Diceros bicornis minor: one gene and its partner. The protein of the gene in region 2 purifies or fractionates together with the protein of the main gene of each other region. This does not show direct contact. Links are inferred from orthologs where the notes say so. Each region holds a gene or a part of one and is shown on either strand. Other genes may lie near its edges.

What was found.
Region 1: the proteins of EMC1 (region 2) and TMED2 purify together in Homo sapiens (affinity purification with mass spectrometry; 3 studies listed by BioGRID and IntAct, with this or other methods). This does not show direct contact. The link is inferred for Diceros bicornis minor from reciprocal best matches to the Homo sapiens genes EMC1 and TMED2.

Annotation. Positions count from the first base shown.
Region 1 is NC_080774.1:6,891,394-6,899,374, reverse strand, and holds the start of TMED2 (transmembrane emp24 domain-containing protein 2), read left to right. Parts: upstream 1-4,926; 5' UTR 4,927-5,001; coding exon 5,002-5,181; intron 5,182-6,606; coding exon 6,607-6,799; intron 6,800-7,981. UniProt on the Homo sapiens protein: Involved in vesicular protein trafficking. Mainly functions in the early secretory pathway but also in post-Golgi membranes.
Region 2 is NC_080752.1:36,356,511-36,364,430, reverse strand, and holds the start of EMC1 (ER membrane protein complex subunit 1), read left to right. Parts: upstream 1-4,862; 5' UTR 4,863-4,877; coding exon 4,878-4,972; intron 4,973-7,301; coding exon 7,302-7,426; intron 7,427-7,920. Other genes in the region: MRTO4 (mRNA turnover protein 4 homolog), read right to left, coding at 35-111, 482-633, 913-980, 1,262-1,343, 2,269-2,372, 3,297-3,355, 4,534-4,561. UniProt on the Homo sapiens protein: Part of the endoplasmic reticulum membrane protein complex (EMC) that enables the energy-independent insertion into endoplasmic reticulum membranes of newly synthesized membrane proteins.

The sequences.
Region 1 (7,981 bases), on a different chromosome or scaffold from region 2:
AGAAACTTCCTCTTTTTAATACTTTAATTTCATCTTCATGATCTGGACCATCCTTTTCTTTTCACATAATTACCCAAGTCTTTCTTAAAGTATTGTTCCTCCCTCTTCACTATATCCTCACTAGTGGATCTTATCATCAGGAGGGGCCCCCTTCTGTGCTCCTGCAGCATCTTCTGCTTGGATTACCCCCTCCAGCCTGTAATTAATTACTTCCAGGTATTGTTCCCCGTGTGCACGCAGAGCCCATCACAAGAGTCTGGGGTCACGTGACCCAGCCTTCACTGTCAGTAACAGCCTCACATTTACACTTTTCATTTTTACAGAAGCTAATTTCACTTTTGGTTTACAATTCAGGACAGGGGTTTGTATCAGTCAGAAAATGGAACCCACTCTAGGTCTTTCAACAGAAAGGTTCTAATCGGGAAATTGGTTAAACAGGTGCATTAGTTACCTATAGCCGTGTAAAAAGTTACCCTAGAACTTAGTGGCTTAAAGCAACAATAATCATTATCTTTCATGGTTTCTGTAGGTCTGGAATTTGGGAGCAGCTTGGCTGAGCGATTCTGATACAGGGTCTCTCAGGGGCTTGCAGTCAAGATATCGGCAGGGGCTGCAGTCATCTGAAGGCTTGACCCGGGCTGGAGGAGCCACTTCCACGACGTTGGTGGGAGGCCTGAGTTTCTCTCTATGCGCGCCTCTCCCAGAGCTGCTCAAGTGTCCTCAAGACATGACGGCTGGCTTCCCCCAGAGGAAGCTGTTCAAGAGAGCAAGGTAGAAGCAACAATGCCTTTTATGACCTACCTCCAGAAGTCACACAGCATCTCATCTGCCACATTCTCAGTCAGAAGTGAGTCACTAAACCAATTCTGCCTCCCAGTCTGGGAGCGGGGAATTAGGCTCCACCTTTTGAAGGGAGGAGGGTCAAGAATTTGTGGATATATTTGTTTTGGTGAGGAAGATTGGCCCTGAGCTAACATCTGTTGCCAATCTTCCTCTTTTTTTTCATGAAGAAGATTAACCCTGAGATAAGATCTGTGCCAATCTTCCTCTATTTTGTATGTGGGTCACTGCCACAGCATCGCTGAAGAATGGTGTGGGTCCGGGCCTGGGATCTGAACCTGTGAACCCAGGCCGCCGAAGCAGAGCATGCCCAACTTAACCACTACGCCACGGGGCTGGCTCCTGGATATATTTTGAAACCAAACACCAGGTGATGATAGAGCTGAAGATCCAAACAAGGGATGGTGAGACAACTTACAGATTAACGAGAGCAGAAAGACCCCAACCCACTTAGGACTGGAGGAAAGAAGGGAGGAAGTGGGGTTACCGGATCCCAGGAGCCAGGACCACCCAGTGGAAACTGGAACTTCAGAGGAGCTGCAGGTTTGAAGACAGCCGCTAACGGCGACGCTTCCCAAAGCAGAGAGGGAGACAAACACTCTAGCTCCTTCCTTCCTCTCCCCTCTAGTCTTCCATCAGTGCCTGCAACTGGCAGGATCTTCCAGGAAGCAGAGTGCAAGGGAGCCTGGAAAACTTAGTTTCTTGTGATGCAGAGGTGAGCAGAGAGGGCTGGGATGGATCTGAGATCAAATGAGTAAAGGACTAGCATGGAGCCCCCCAAAATGGCTGATTTGATTAGATGGTGATATTGTGGTTAAATTTGTCTTGAATTCTGATTATTTTTACATATTAATATTGTTTTCAATAAAATGACATTTTAAAACTGAAAATGAAAAAAAAAAGAATAATGAAAGAAATTTTCCCAGTCTCCTTTAATCTTCCTTAATTTTAAAAGACTTCTTTGGGACCAAAGGGAAGGAGTGTTAATACCCAGACAGCAGAAAGCTGATCTAGCCTTTCTGTGGAAACAGCCTTTTGTTATTCTCTTGACAACTTGCCAGCACTTGAGAACTGACTGATGCAGCTGATCCAAACCCCTCAACAGTTTCTAACCGGGTTTCCTGGTCCCTGCCACACACAACAAGCTTCTGATTCCGAGTAGAAATAATTTATTTTGTCTGCTCTAGATATATACCCAAGAGAATTGGAAATATATGTCCATACAAAAACGTGTGCATGAATGTTCACAGCAACATTCTTCATAATAGCCAAAAAGTGTAAACGACCCAAATGTCCATCAACAGGTGAATGGACAGACAAAACGTGGTCTATCCATATAACACAATATCGTTCAGCCATAACAAGGAATGAAGCACTGACACATCACAACACAGAAGAACCTTGAAAACATGCTCAGTGAAAGAAGCTGGTCACAAAAGGTCACATATTGTAGGATTCCGTTCCAAATCCATAGCGACAGGCAGTAGATTAGCGGTGGCCAGGGGCTGAGGGGAGGAGGAACGGGCAGTGACTGCTAATGGGTATGGGATTTCTTTTTGGCCTGATGAAATGTTTTGGAATTAAGTGACGATGGTTGAACAACTCCGAATATACTAAAAACCACTGAATCGTACACTTGAAAACGGTGAATTTTATGGTACGTGAAAAGGAAGGAAGGAAGGAAGGGAGGACCCATTTTTTGTTGCACTTCACTGACCACTGATCACCACCTGGTGGCTTCTAGACCAGACCCCAGTTGAGAGGTTTGTTCGTCATCCATCAAATATTTATTGAGCACCCCCTATGTGCCAGCTGTTTGTTATGCTGGATGTGTTCATGCACACCATGGCACGTGAGCTCATGCCAATCTGAGGACCACTGAAGTGCACATTTACTGTGGGTGACCTGGCATGTCCTGAGAACCTGTGGTTCTTTGTCTTCAGATCCTGAAATAATGTTGAAAGACGCCTGGTGAGTAATTATAACAACGATGCTAGAAAGAAAAACCTGTATAAAGAAGGAACGAAACCAAGTAGTTGGTAGTAATTATTTTACAGTACCGTGATTAGAGTTACCTTTGTCTCCTTTCTCACTTTCAGATAGCACAGTTAATTACTTTATAATATAAAAAATACATTTACAGAAGACTTCGGGCTGCATCTTTGGTTTGGCCACCACTGTGTTTTCAAAAATTGTATTTAGATACAGCATCTATGCTCCAGTTTGCCACAGTCCTCCCCACTCCCTATTGCCTTAAGCTGGTGCCATCTCTCAATCTTATAAGCTGCTTGATTCCTGAAGGCACTTGATTTTGGGACCCCTGATTTATATAATAAACCCCCCCATATACAATTCATTGTATTCCACTGAGATGCTAAATGTCCACATTTTAAATCCCTGATAAGTGGAGTTAGAACATTATTTAATCAGTTTGAAAATTAATATTTAATTTCCAGAGAAAAATAGAATTGTTCCTGGCGCTTTTCTACAGAGTTGGGTTGCTTGGGAAGTCAAAAAACCTGTATCCATTAGTTCAATTCAGTTTAATAGAAAACCTCTGAAGGCATTACAAGCAGGAAGAGATTTCGTGCACAGAAAAGGGGCTTCTGAATGGGTCGGTGAGGCCGGAGGAGCAGGCTCCAGGCTGGGCCTCCCTCCAGCGACGGCTCCCAGAATAACACTACAGAACTGACCTGCCAGCAGAAGCAAGAACTCTGCCACAGTCTGGAGGGTGGGGAATCAGGGGACCATTACTAGAACTCTCGAGTTCAATAACACATCATAGCCAGGAAGCTTCCATCACTGTAGCTACACCTGTTTCTTGACACCTGAAGCAGGCAAACTGGATCTTGGGCCACTACTGCCCCCTATTGCCTGCTGAGGTTTGAAGAAATAACCCCTCAAATTTGCACTACACACGCACATACATGGTGTCATCCGATCCTCACCATAACTTGACCAGATGCAAGGAATGTGGTGTCATCCCCGTTTTACAGATAAGGAAAGTGAAGCTCAGAGAGGTGATGGAACATAATTAAGGTCACACAGTGCAGAACTGGAGTAACAACAGGTCTCCTCCTCCCCAGGCCAGTTCAATGAACTTGACATGTCAACTAACACAGCCTTTTGTGAGGTCTTTTGTGGCTCTATGGTAGGACCTGAGAGCACAGCACATAATATGCCAAGTGCCTCATGAGTGGCACAGACTGGTAAATAACTATAACTCAGTAGGCACAAATCTGCCTTGTAAGCACAGAGGAAGGGGCTAGTATTTGGCAGAAGAAGGTCTAGGAACATTTCAGAGAAAAGGCAACATTTGAATAGGGTTTTGAGGGATAAGTAGGAGTGTACCAGGAGGCAAAGAGCGGAAAAAAATTGTCCTAGTAGCTGGCAAGAGCTAAGGGAATGGGAGGTGGCCCCAAGACTTTGCGGAGCTGAGAGAATTCTAATTTTGGAGGATGTAGACAAGGTAAAATTTTTTTGGTAGTTGTATCACATACGCACAGTAAAATAAGGTGCATTCAGCTTAAGTACACAGCTTCTTGATTTTTTAAAAAAGCATCTGTAAACACTCAAGTACCCATCATGTAGGGGAAGATATAAAACATTTCCAACATCCCAGGCGGTTCCCTCGTGCCCCTTTTCAGCCTATACCCGCCTCCGTCCTTTCCCCATTGGTTTTTGCTGGGTGAGGGGAGGCCAGCATAAAACCTCAAAGCCTTTGGCTGCAGCCCCCATCTCAAATTCCCTCCACTCCTATTGCTGCCGCCAAATCTTTCGCCATCTTTTTTGGACAATCCTAAGAGGGCACTGCACCGAGCGCGGTAGTTTTCTTGATAGCGCCGCTTTCTTGTGTGGTCCACGTGAAATTTAGGTTGCGCGCGAAAAGGGAGCGAGGTGAGGCCGACGGCTTTTGGCCCTTCGGAGCCACCGTCCAGGGGCCGCGCGGAGGCGCCATGTCCCTCGGCGGCCGCCGTGCGTCCGTTACGTGGCAGCTGCCGGCGCCCGCCAATCCACGGCGCCCGCATCAGCCCCCTCGGGTGGCGCAGCCGGAAGGGGCGGAGCGGAGGCGGCGGCGGCTGAGGAGGCAGCGGTGGCGGCGGCGGCGGCGGCGGCTCTGGAGGCCGCACTCTGGGTCCTGGCTTCGGCCCCAGCCGCACCATGGTGACGCTCGCTGAGCTGCTGGTGCTCCTGGCCGCCCTCCTGGCCACGGCCTCGGGCTACTTCGTCAGCATCGACGCGCACGCCGAGGAGTGCTTCTTCGAGCGGGTCACCTCGGGCACCAAGATGGGCCTCATCTTCGAGGTGGCCGAGGGCGGCTTCCTGGACATCGACGTGGAGGTGCGGGCGCCCTGCCCGCGGCCGAGGCGGGGTCGCGCGGGGCGCGCCCGGGGTCTGCGGGGGAGCGGGGCGTGGGGGCGGCTGTCCGCGTTCTGGGAGGGGCCCGGGCCCCGCCTGGGCGACCCCCAACGGCCCTGTCGCCGCGGCCGGCCAGGATTCCGGGCGCGGGCTCCCCTCGGGCTGCGGAGCCTGGGCTTAGTCGCTTTGGGTTCCCACCCTGAACGGCGGGTCCCCCGGCACGTCTCGCCGAGCTTTGTCGACCGGGCGCCGCGTGTCAGCTCCGGGCCCAGAAGGCGCCTCCCGGGGGTTAGCTGGTGGCAGGACTCGGTACGCCCGGCAGCCGCGTTCCTTCGTGTTACGGGCTAATGTTGGAACGTGGCAGGGAAACGTCTGAAAAAGTAAATCGGAAGCTATGGAATGCTCGCAGACGTTCGCGTTGTGTTTTTCATTGTTTTTCATAGAAACGTCCTGAATGTTGGACTCGTTTTTACACAAACCTCCAGATATCTCTTTTAGCCATCTCTGTAGGAGAGAGGTGGAGTTGGGTCCTGCATTTTTAGGAGGGATGAGTGCAGTGAAGGATCTGGAGCGAACAGGAAATTATTTTAAGAAACCAGCCGTCCCTGAATTTCCTCCTGTTTTTTTTTTTAAACCAAGAGAATGATTCGCCTCTAATATTTTTTAGGAAACCAGATGTAATTAATATTTAAATTCATCTGTTAGCATGATTAATTGGGTTTAAGAGTTCCATTTGACAGTGAACATCAACACAGTTGGGCACAAATTACACAATACAAGTGAAGTCCAGGAATAAGGGGATAATGGGAGGAGTGACTGTTAAAGTTAGCTAAGACGTTGGAGATCAACTGTTCCAGTCTTAAGTTTTACAGGTGGTAGGGGCTTTATAAAAGAACTAACTCCAGCACCCCTAACAGCTGATTTGTAGCAGACTGGGCTGAGAACATGGGTCTCCTAATTTCCAGGCCTTTCCCTTAAGCCTTCAGCGTCTCACATAAAGCACTTTCCTTCACTGATTGGCAGTAATCAGAAAAACCTAGAAATGTAGCTTGCTCAAAATTCTTAGATTTAAAGATATTTCTTTTTTTGATGTTTTGCTATTAACAGCTACACTTTTGCTGGTGGTATTAGGCCACTTGGAGACAATGTTTAAGGTGTGGTTTCTGTTTCTGAGGGGTTTACGTTTAAGTTGGACAAATAAAACAAATGTCAAAGTTGAAAAGTGTTTAGAGAGTCTTGTTTCATAAGTGGGAGAACTGCAGCACAGAGAGGTTACTGTCGATAACTGAAGTGGAGCTAAGTGAAAATTAGATTTTCTTAGCAAATATCCTACTGCCAATAGACATCACTCATGAAGTTTATGATTTTAAGTCCGTGATATCTTATGCATTTCTTTCTTGCCTCCAGATTACAGGGCCTGATAATAAAGGAATTTATAAAGGAGACCGGGAGTCCAGTGGGAAATACACATTTGCTGCTCACATGGACGGAACATACAAGTTTTGTTTTAGCAATAGGATGTCCACCATGACTCCAAAGATAGTGATGTTCACCATTGATATTGGGGAGGCCCCAAAAGGACAAGACATGGAAACAGAAGGTGAGATGAGCATTCAGAAGATTTATATCACATTCCAAGAGTTAATATTAATTTTGTACATTTTTCTCCATCTAAATGGAATGTTTATTTTGGTTTCTTATTCTAGGTTCATTCACTGTCTTTACAACCAAAAACCTTTTGTGTAATATGCTTTTTATTTATTCAAATCTCCTAATTAACAAAAAGAAGTTTCTGGAGGTTCATGTTTGTATTTTAGGTCTTTACAGTTGCCCCTTCTAGCAGCTTTTCATAGTCACTTTGTGCTCTTGTAGGCACGTAGGTTACATGTGTCTTAGGTGGTTTGTTTGGTTAATCCTGGTATATACATCTTTATTTGCTCATTTGTTTACATGACTAGTTTAGCTAAACTTTTTATTTTTTTGTGTGTTTCTATCTTACACTTTTCTTTAGGTGGTGGAGATACCTGGGATGGTATGTGGATTGCCTTTTGACAGCATCCTGTCTTTCTGTATATTTTGTTTGCTGCTGTCTAATTTCTGCTTTCCTTCTTTCTAACCTCAGTTTGTTAGCATGAGAGTGTTTTTTCTCTTAATTAAAAAACCTTATAACTAATTAGAGTTTTGAGTGATTGTTTTTTGGCAGTTTTTATTTGGTTGACAGGAGATATAGGTTAGGTCATTTTAAATTAATAGCATTGGGAACACAGTGATTGACATTTTAGTAGTAACATCATACTTTGTTTTAAATGAATACTGAAGGGTGGAAAGATTCAACTGTAACTGGACAAGTGAAAGTCTTAATTAAACATAGCTAATAGCAAATGGTGCCTTTGACTGCAGGAAGTATTTTGTAGGCTTGTTTTACCATTATTAAAGTTTTCTAACTTGAAACTTGGTTGGATGTAAAATGCAGTTGTGGGAACCGTGTCTAGAATATGGTGACAAAAGTTCTGTCAGCCATATGTTGCAGTTAGATTAATTTTTATTCCTCAACTGACCAGTAATGAACCCTAAATTGATTCTTCTGGATAAATTGCTTACCAGGAGCCAGCAAATTTAGATTTTATTTATTTATTTTTTTTTTGCCACAGCACATGTCAGGATTGTTGGAGACTAGCAGTTCAACACATTTCATAGTATTAACATGATATCACTTGTCTTAGATAGTGAGCAATTAGTAAAGTACTTGCATCATGAAGAAGGTGAAGTGTGTGTTAGGTTT
Region 2 (7,920 bases):
CACAGCCTGCAGCCGCCAGAGGGGGCGGACTCACCAGGATGCGGGCCTGCTCTGGGGTCAGCACGTCGCCCTCTTTGCACACCTCGTAGTCGGACAGCAGGGTCACCACGCCTGCAAAGAAGGGGGCCCCTGAGCAGTTCCTGCTGACAGAGCTTCCTGCCCACTGCCCAGAGCTAGGAGCAAGCTGGCTGGCCCCCCGCACATGCCAGGGCAGCTCAGTCAGACGTGTCCAGCTGCCTGGGAGGGTTTTCAGGGCAGTGACCACCTCCCTCATTGTCCTGCAGTGCTGTGTTCTGGCTCTAAGTCGCTGTCCACTTCCCCCCAGCTATGAGGCGGGCACTCTCGGCCCCATCTTCAAATGAGAGAATGGAGGCTGGGAAAACCCACTCAGCCAGGACGGGGAGGAGGGCCCGTCGGGCTTGGGGGCCTGTGCTCTTGACCTCGAAGCTGGGACCTTTCAGCTCCAGGGACTTCCCCGTACCTCTCCTGAGGGCAGTGGGCAGGCCCAGCTGCCTCAGCTGTGGCTCCATGGAGTGGGGGAACTGCTCCAGGGGCCCTGGGTCCAGGCTCACGGTGAACGCTGCTTTGTTCCCAGCTCGGGCGTAGTCCATCTCTGTGTATTTGGTGAACCACCTGAAGGGAAAGAGAAGTGGAAGGAGGGCAGGTTCCTGACTGGCCCACCCGCCCACCTACAATCAGGCTCCCCGTGGGTCTCGCCTCCCCTCCCCGTCCATCTCAGCTGCTGGCTGGCAGCCAGCCTGGAGCACCGTGCTGGAGAATAACGACTCAGTAAACTGGGTTCTAGGAAGCAGTTTTTCCTTGATGCCTCCACTGTACAAAGCCCCTAGATTATTCCTTCCCTAGAGTCCTCACCAATCTTTCTCTTCCTTACCACTCCTCAAAAACACTTACTCGTTCACTTCCTCCTTAGTGCGATTGGTGAAAAGGAGACCAACTTCACCCCTCAACTTCTTGCTGACCTAGGAAACAAACAGAGGATCAGCTCGGTCACATTAGAGCAGTGGGTCTCACCTGGGGACAATTTTGCACCCCCCTCCCCTCAGGGGACCTCTGGCAACATCGGAGACATTTCTGGTTGTCCCAGCTGGGAGGGGCACTACTCGCTGTGTCTGGAGGTTAAAGGAGAACCGGAGCTTTAAGCCAGGCCTCGCCCTCCCTGATCCCGGCCGGGCCTGATGGCCGGAGAGTGTGTTGTGAGCAGCGGCCTGGCCCCGGCCCCTCCGGAGAGGGCCAGCCTCACCTGGTGCAGGTTGTCTTTGTACTCGTCAGATGGGCTTCGACCCAAGGCCACCATCATCACTTTGTTTTTGCCAAAGAACATCCTACAGAGAAAAGGAGGCCTCCGTGAAGGGGGTGCCCTACCCAGCCCTCCCCTCAGTTAAGTGCTTGCCAGCTCTAGTCCGCGGGGGCCCAAGCCCAGGCCTAGGCTGTTCTGTAGCGGGAGGGGTGGCCAAAGGCTCCCACTTCTTCCATGTGGCCCTACCCGCTCTGTCCCCAGCCCAGGATCTCTTTCATTATTTTCCTGCCACAGACCTGGCATTCACAATATTTTGTCTACCAACCCAGTGTGAGTGTTATGTGAACCCGCCCCCCGTGCTGCCCTGGCTGGAAGTGCAGACGAGGCACGTGCCATGGTCTGAACCAGAGCTGGTGCAGCAAGAGACAACCGGAGTCATCACCTGCACTGTCACAAATCCAGCCCAAGGACAGGTACTCGCCAAAGGGCTCATGCAGCCTGCTCTCGGGTCATTGTGTGCCTCCTGGAGCACATCAGCCATGGGGATAGGTTCTAAGACACGCATCGTTAGGCGATCTCATCATTGTGCGGATATCAGTGTTCTTACACACACCTAGATGGCATAATCGACCTCGCATCTAAGCTATGTGGTACTAATCTTATGGGACTACTGTTATGTATGTGGTCCGTTGTTGACTGAAACATTGTTGGACAGCACGTGACTGTATTGACATTCTAAAACTGACGAGATGTTCCTAAAAGGATCAGACCCCAGGGTGAAGGGAGCCCCTTCTCCTGGAGGGATCACTGATCAGACATCCCTTAAGCAACTATCAAGTCCTGTCCCTCAAGAAGCTCAGTGCAAGACCAGCTTTAATGCTGAAAAAGCGCCCTTCAGTGGGAGTGGCCCTTTGCCCTTATTAAGGTACCAGGTACCCAAGGGTCAATACTTGCCCCTGTGCTTTGAGAGCAGCCTGGCCCCTTCCCCACTCTTCCCACTGCCTGCTCACCGGCTGTGCTTCCAGGCGTTCCGGATGTCCTTCAGCTTGTTGTTCCTCATGTTGGCCACGGAGAAGATGAAAAGGTACTTGTACGTGTCCACACATTTCCGAAGCTGTGGGACAATTCATGGGGCTCTGGAGTTCAAGGGGCAGCACGAGTTGGGCAATACTCTGGCCTCAGATGGGAAAGAATCTGCTCTAGATTCTACAACTGTGGAAGTTGAGAGTTGCAGGCCTCTAATCTAGTTGTCTCCTCCTCACCTCCATTACTGAAGCCAGGATCCCTAAGGATAGGGGCTCCCCTGAGGCCAAGCAGACATGACCTCAAAGGGCAGGGGAAGCTGAGCCATGGGTCAAGATCCCAGTCTTCCCACATTCCTGACTTATCTGTGGCCAACAGTGGAATCCACCACTTCTCTTTGCCTTGTCCATTAACTGCTGACAACCTAAAAATACTCAGCTACGCTAGGAAGGCTCCTGCTAGCTGGAAGCATAGAAAGCCTCCTTATTTACTCATAAGGGGAGGCAGCTCAACGGCCCTTCTCCACCCCCACGTTGCTGGCTGCAGCCACGATGAGGTGGTCTCAAAGACACAATCTGTGCGGGAGGAGATGCTGCTGTCAGCCAGCCTGCAGCCCTGAAGCAGTGCAGACAGCGGGCTGGTGCATTTGCCCACAACTGGTAACTCCCCAGCTTTTTGACATGGAACAGGCTAGCAAATCTCTGTGAGCTTCAGCTACCCAACTGCATAACAGTGATAACGTCACCTCGCATCTACCCAGAGGGATGTGGTGAGGATGGAGTGAACAACACATACGAAATGCTCAGCACCGAGCAGGGCATAGAGTAAGAGCTCAGTGAAAGCTGGAAATCATTGCTGTGGGATGATTGGTGGTGCTGCTACTGGTGGAAAAAGGCCTGCATCGGCAGCTGTTTTTGTTTTTTTTTTAACAGTATGTTTCCCTGACAAACAGCCCTACACCCACCTTTATAAACCAAACACAAGATCCGAAAAAATAAAAAGAATGAGCTATTACCTCTTCGATCAGGTTCTGTTTCAGTTCCAAGCCTTTCTTGGCAGTTTTGGTTAAGGAAACTAATACAAAGAAGAAAAAGGAGATGATGAAAAACAAATCTGGATGTCCTGGAGACTCCTTTTCTTCTCCCTGGCTGCTCAGCTGGACCGAGCCACTCTGAGGAAGGGCAGCAAGGCTGATGCAGCCACTACTGGCACACAAGGCTATTCCTGGGGTCCTCAGAGTGCCTACTCTCTAGCATTCCTGAGCCTGGAGACCCTTTGATATATTTTCTGTTGCTTAGACAAACTAGGTGCTCCTCAGCCCTCTTAGGCTAACCTAAAAACCCCTACTGAAGTGTGGGGGCAGGGCTTGTTCCTGCTCTTGGAGCGCTGTAAGCGGCAGACCTAGACTTGGAACACCATTCCCCGAAGGTAACTCCATGGGTTGCTTATTCTCTTTCTTCAGGTTTCTGTTCATTTGTCACCTCATCAGAGAGACCTTTTCTGGCTACGTTACACAAAATAATATCACCTCTTTCTGTTACTTTTTCTCCATGGGACTCACGACTGTCTGACTTGATGAGACTTTTGGTATTTGGGGGAGATATGTATCCCATGACTAAAACGTTAAGTGCGATGAGTGCTCTAGGCCTTTCTTGTTGTAACTGCTATATCCTCCAACGCCTAGAGAGTTCCAGGCCCCCTAAATATTCGTTGAGTGAATGTGCTGGAGAGCCAGGGTGGGAGAAGCCAAAATTGTAAAGATGGTCAGGAATGGTTTCTTAGAAGGTGCCCTATGAACTGAGAACCGAGAAAGAACCAGCCATGTGAAGGTCAGAGCATAAAGGCACGCCAGACAGAGAGAACTGCAAGTAACAAAGGGCAGGGAATAAGCCTGTGCTGAACGAAAGGAAAGGCGGCCAGGGTGGCGGGAGCGCAGAGCTCAGAGAGTGAAATTGAGGTGGGAGGGGTGGGCCAAAGCGAGATGGGGCGCAGCCTGCGTGTTCAGAGGCTGTTTGTCGGCCCAGTCGGCCTTGGAAGAGCTCTTAAGGAGCTCTCCGATCCCTTGACCCCACCACGCTCCAGCCCTCTCCGATGCTCCCGCCGCTCCGACGCCCCCATCCGAGCTCGCAGCGAGCCCGCGGAGCTCCTCGCCGAGGTCCCGGCGTCCCATTCCGTCCTCTCGAAGCACCCCACCGCAGCTGACAGCCAGCCGGCGGCACTCCCCACCGAGTCCCAAAGCCCCCTTCGCCCACCTTTCTTATCGCGCTTAGATTTGGGCATCTCGTTGCAGGCACGTGCGGCGGAAGACGGTGCTGCCTGTTAGGACCCCGGCGGCGCGGGGAACTCTGGGATGGCCCTCGGGGGCTGCCCTCGCGCGTGCCTGACTCAATCTGCGCTACGGCCCCCTCCTCCTGCTGGCCACCGCCTGCGCTCTTCCCCGCGTCTCCAGGGCGATTTCTCGCCCGTCCGGGGTCCTCCGAGTCCTGAGCGCCCCACCCGGGGCTTCGCGTGCCGTCCCAACTCTATGGTTCCGCGGAGGCGGGGCCTGCGGCGCGGTGCATGCCGGGCCGGCGGCGGGCGGGACCGGCCTCCCATCATGGCGGCGGCGGCGGCTTCCCGGTTCTGGTTCTGGGCTGCCCTGCTTGTGCCTGCGGCCGCGGTCTACGAAGACCAAGTGGGCAAGTTTGATTGGTGCGTACGTGTGGGGCCTCTTCGGGAAATATGTGGCTATTTTCCCAGCACCTGTCTTCTCTCGGCTAAAGGGAGGGAGGTTATCGTTATCATGTGGCAGAATTGGCTGCGTAACTTGCGGAGCCCAGTGCAGAATGAAAATGTGGGATCTCTCGTTCAAAAATTAAGAGTTTTAAGGTGGCGACAGCACAGCATGCAACCAAGTGTTGGGGGCGCTTCTAAGCCGGTCCTTGTGTAACTATACAGGTCGCAAGCCGATGCAGCCGGCCCTGCTGTTCAGACACGCTCGGGGTTCTGGTCAGAGGTCACTGTTCCCTCCTCCCCCGCCGGGCCCCGCTTCTGTGGCCGTCAGGTTTCTGATCCACTGTGTGTCACAAGTCGACAGCCTGCAGTGAACTCTCATTCCTCCTCGAATTGGCATCTCTTGGGCGTGTGAACAGGGGCTTGGGTTTTATTGAGTCCTAAACTGAGTCCTCTTTCTCCTCCCTTCCAGCTCAGGACAGGGCCGTCCAATACTCACATCAGCCCCTAAGTGCCATTCATTCATTCACTCACTCATTCACCCACTCACTCACTCACCCATCCCTTCCTTAAGTCCCCGGAGTTGGCTTGCTTTTGTTTGAATCTCAATTTTGTGACGTAAAGGTTGTGTGATCTTGGGAAGAGACTTAACCACTCTGTGCCTGGTTCTTTATCTGTAAGATGGGTTTACAAATAGCTCATTACTTCCTACAGTAGCTGTAAGGATGAATGAGATAATTCCTTTAAATTACTTAGCACAATACCTGGCTCCTTGAGTGCAGTCAGTAAATGTTGCTCATTATTACTAATCAGGGAACACGATCCTTCAGAGCCCAGCTCAGCTATCTTCTCCTCTCTGAAGTCTTTTGTGTCTCAGACAAATTGATTGATGTATTTGTTGAGTGCCTGTGGTGGGACAGATGTTCAGATGCTGTGGATACAGAGATGGGAAGGAGCTCAGTCTAGCGGGGCAGATATATAAGTATGTGATATAAGACGGTGTAACAAATGCAACGTAAGTCACGTTTTTAATGATGTGGGAAAATGTGTAGTATGATATGTATATATTACACGTATGCACAATATGTGATATTCCAATTTAACAGAATATTAGGTATATGCAATTTACAAATTGAGAAATAAATAGAAGGAAATACACCAAAACATTAAAAAGTTTATGGTCGTGGTATTTTAGGCATTTTTCATTTTATTTTTTATACTTTTATGTATTTTTCACATTTTCTACAGCGAGCAGGCATTACTTTTATAGTCCAGATAAAGGCAGCACTTAGTTTAAAAGAGAGCATGGGATTTAGAGTCAGAAGGTCTTAGTTTTGTGGTCTAGTTCTGACAGAGATTAGTTGATGTCAGTAGACATTGATTTACTTACCTGTAAAATGAGAGTAATAATGTTTGTTCTACATACTTCAGATTGTTCAGTGCGTACAACGAAAAAGTATGTGAAAATGCAGGTAGAAACTGTCAAATGTCATATAAGCCTGTCTCTCTACCGGGCTTAGTCTTTTCTTTTTTTGAAAAAGTAGAGCAAACAACATCACAACAAGAGAAATTCAGTGTAAACGTCACGTGTGTTTAATTAGCTAGTGGTTGCCGTACTTCTTAATTAAAAAGAATGTGCAAGCACCTCCTGTGTATTTGATAGTATCCATGCAAAGCTAGTATGTTCCATTTATGCTTAGGTAGGAGTGTTGAAAGTGATGGGATATATTCCAAGGAAAATATGAACAATGAGTCAAATGGATCCTGAACATGGTGTGAGCTAGAAAAGGCTGTAGAGAACAAAAGGCCTGACCCGGTCTCTGGAGTTTTGTTGGGAAATTGGCATCATTTTTTCTCCAGAGGTCGTGAAAGTAGAAGGGAAAGTTGGATTGTATGCTCGTTGACAACAGGGTTTGTGTCTCTTCTGTCGCATGTAACGTGAGTGTCTAGTCCCACTATTATCGAATACAGAGAGGACTGTAATGTTTGTTCTAGTGGGATTTAGGCCACGTGCTCTCTTGGGTGTCACTTATCTCGAGCAAAATATGTGCTTGCATTTAGAAGGAAGACTGTCGCGTTTCTTATCTGCTAGGGGGTATTCTCTCTTCTTGTTCCCTTTGCTTCTGACTACATTGCATAGAAATCTTGCTTTTGGTCAGATCTGTTTGTTAACAAACATTTCTCATACGCTCTAAGATAGGTATGATGGTGATAACCTCATGTATTTGTGCAGTTGCCTTTTTCCAAAGTATTTTCTGCAGTGATGGTTTGGGCCCCTTACATTTATTTCCCTGTTCTCTCTCCCCAGGAGACAGCAGTATGTTGGGAAGCTCAAGTTTGCCTCCTTGGAGTTTTCCCCTGGATCCAAGAAGTTGGTTGTGGCCACAGAGAAAAATGTGATTGCAGCATTGAATTCTCGGACCGGGGAGATCTGTGAGTGAACTGTGCAGACGTTAGCTCGAGATGGAATGGCTGACGTAGTGGATCCAGAAGGCCTGTGGCTTGTGACGTCTGCCTGGCTGATTCCCAAATTAGGGATGAGTCGGCCAAAAGAGGGATCTCTTACTGGATTCTGATACCTTTTTTTTTAATGTCTTGTCATCTTTGAATACTTAAGATACTCCTATAACTGGCCTTTGTAGTTTATTCCGTAAGCCCAGGTCTTGAGTGTTCTTGAATAAGATATTGCTGCAAAAAACGCATTGATCAGTTTTGCAGTAAAGATTGGAATATCCTCCGTAAATTACTTACACTGCTTTTATGGATGTTTTCGGGCACTAAAATCATGGAAATGTAATTTGTCACTATTTTTCTGGTGAATTGTATGGATTTTGTTAATTTTGTCATTGTTTATTTATGTTTGATGGTAGTGGGTGGGCAGAGGAAGTACAGGGACCTCAGACTGGGACAGTAGTGGCTCCTGTCAA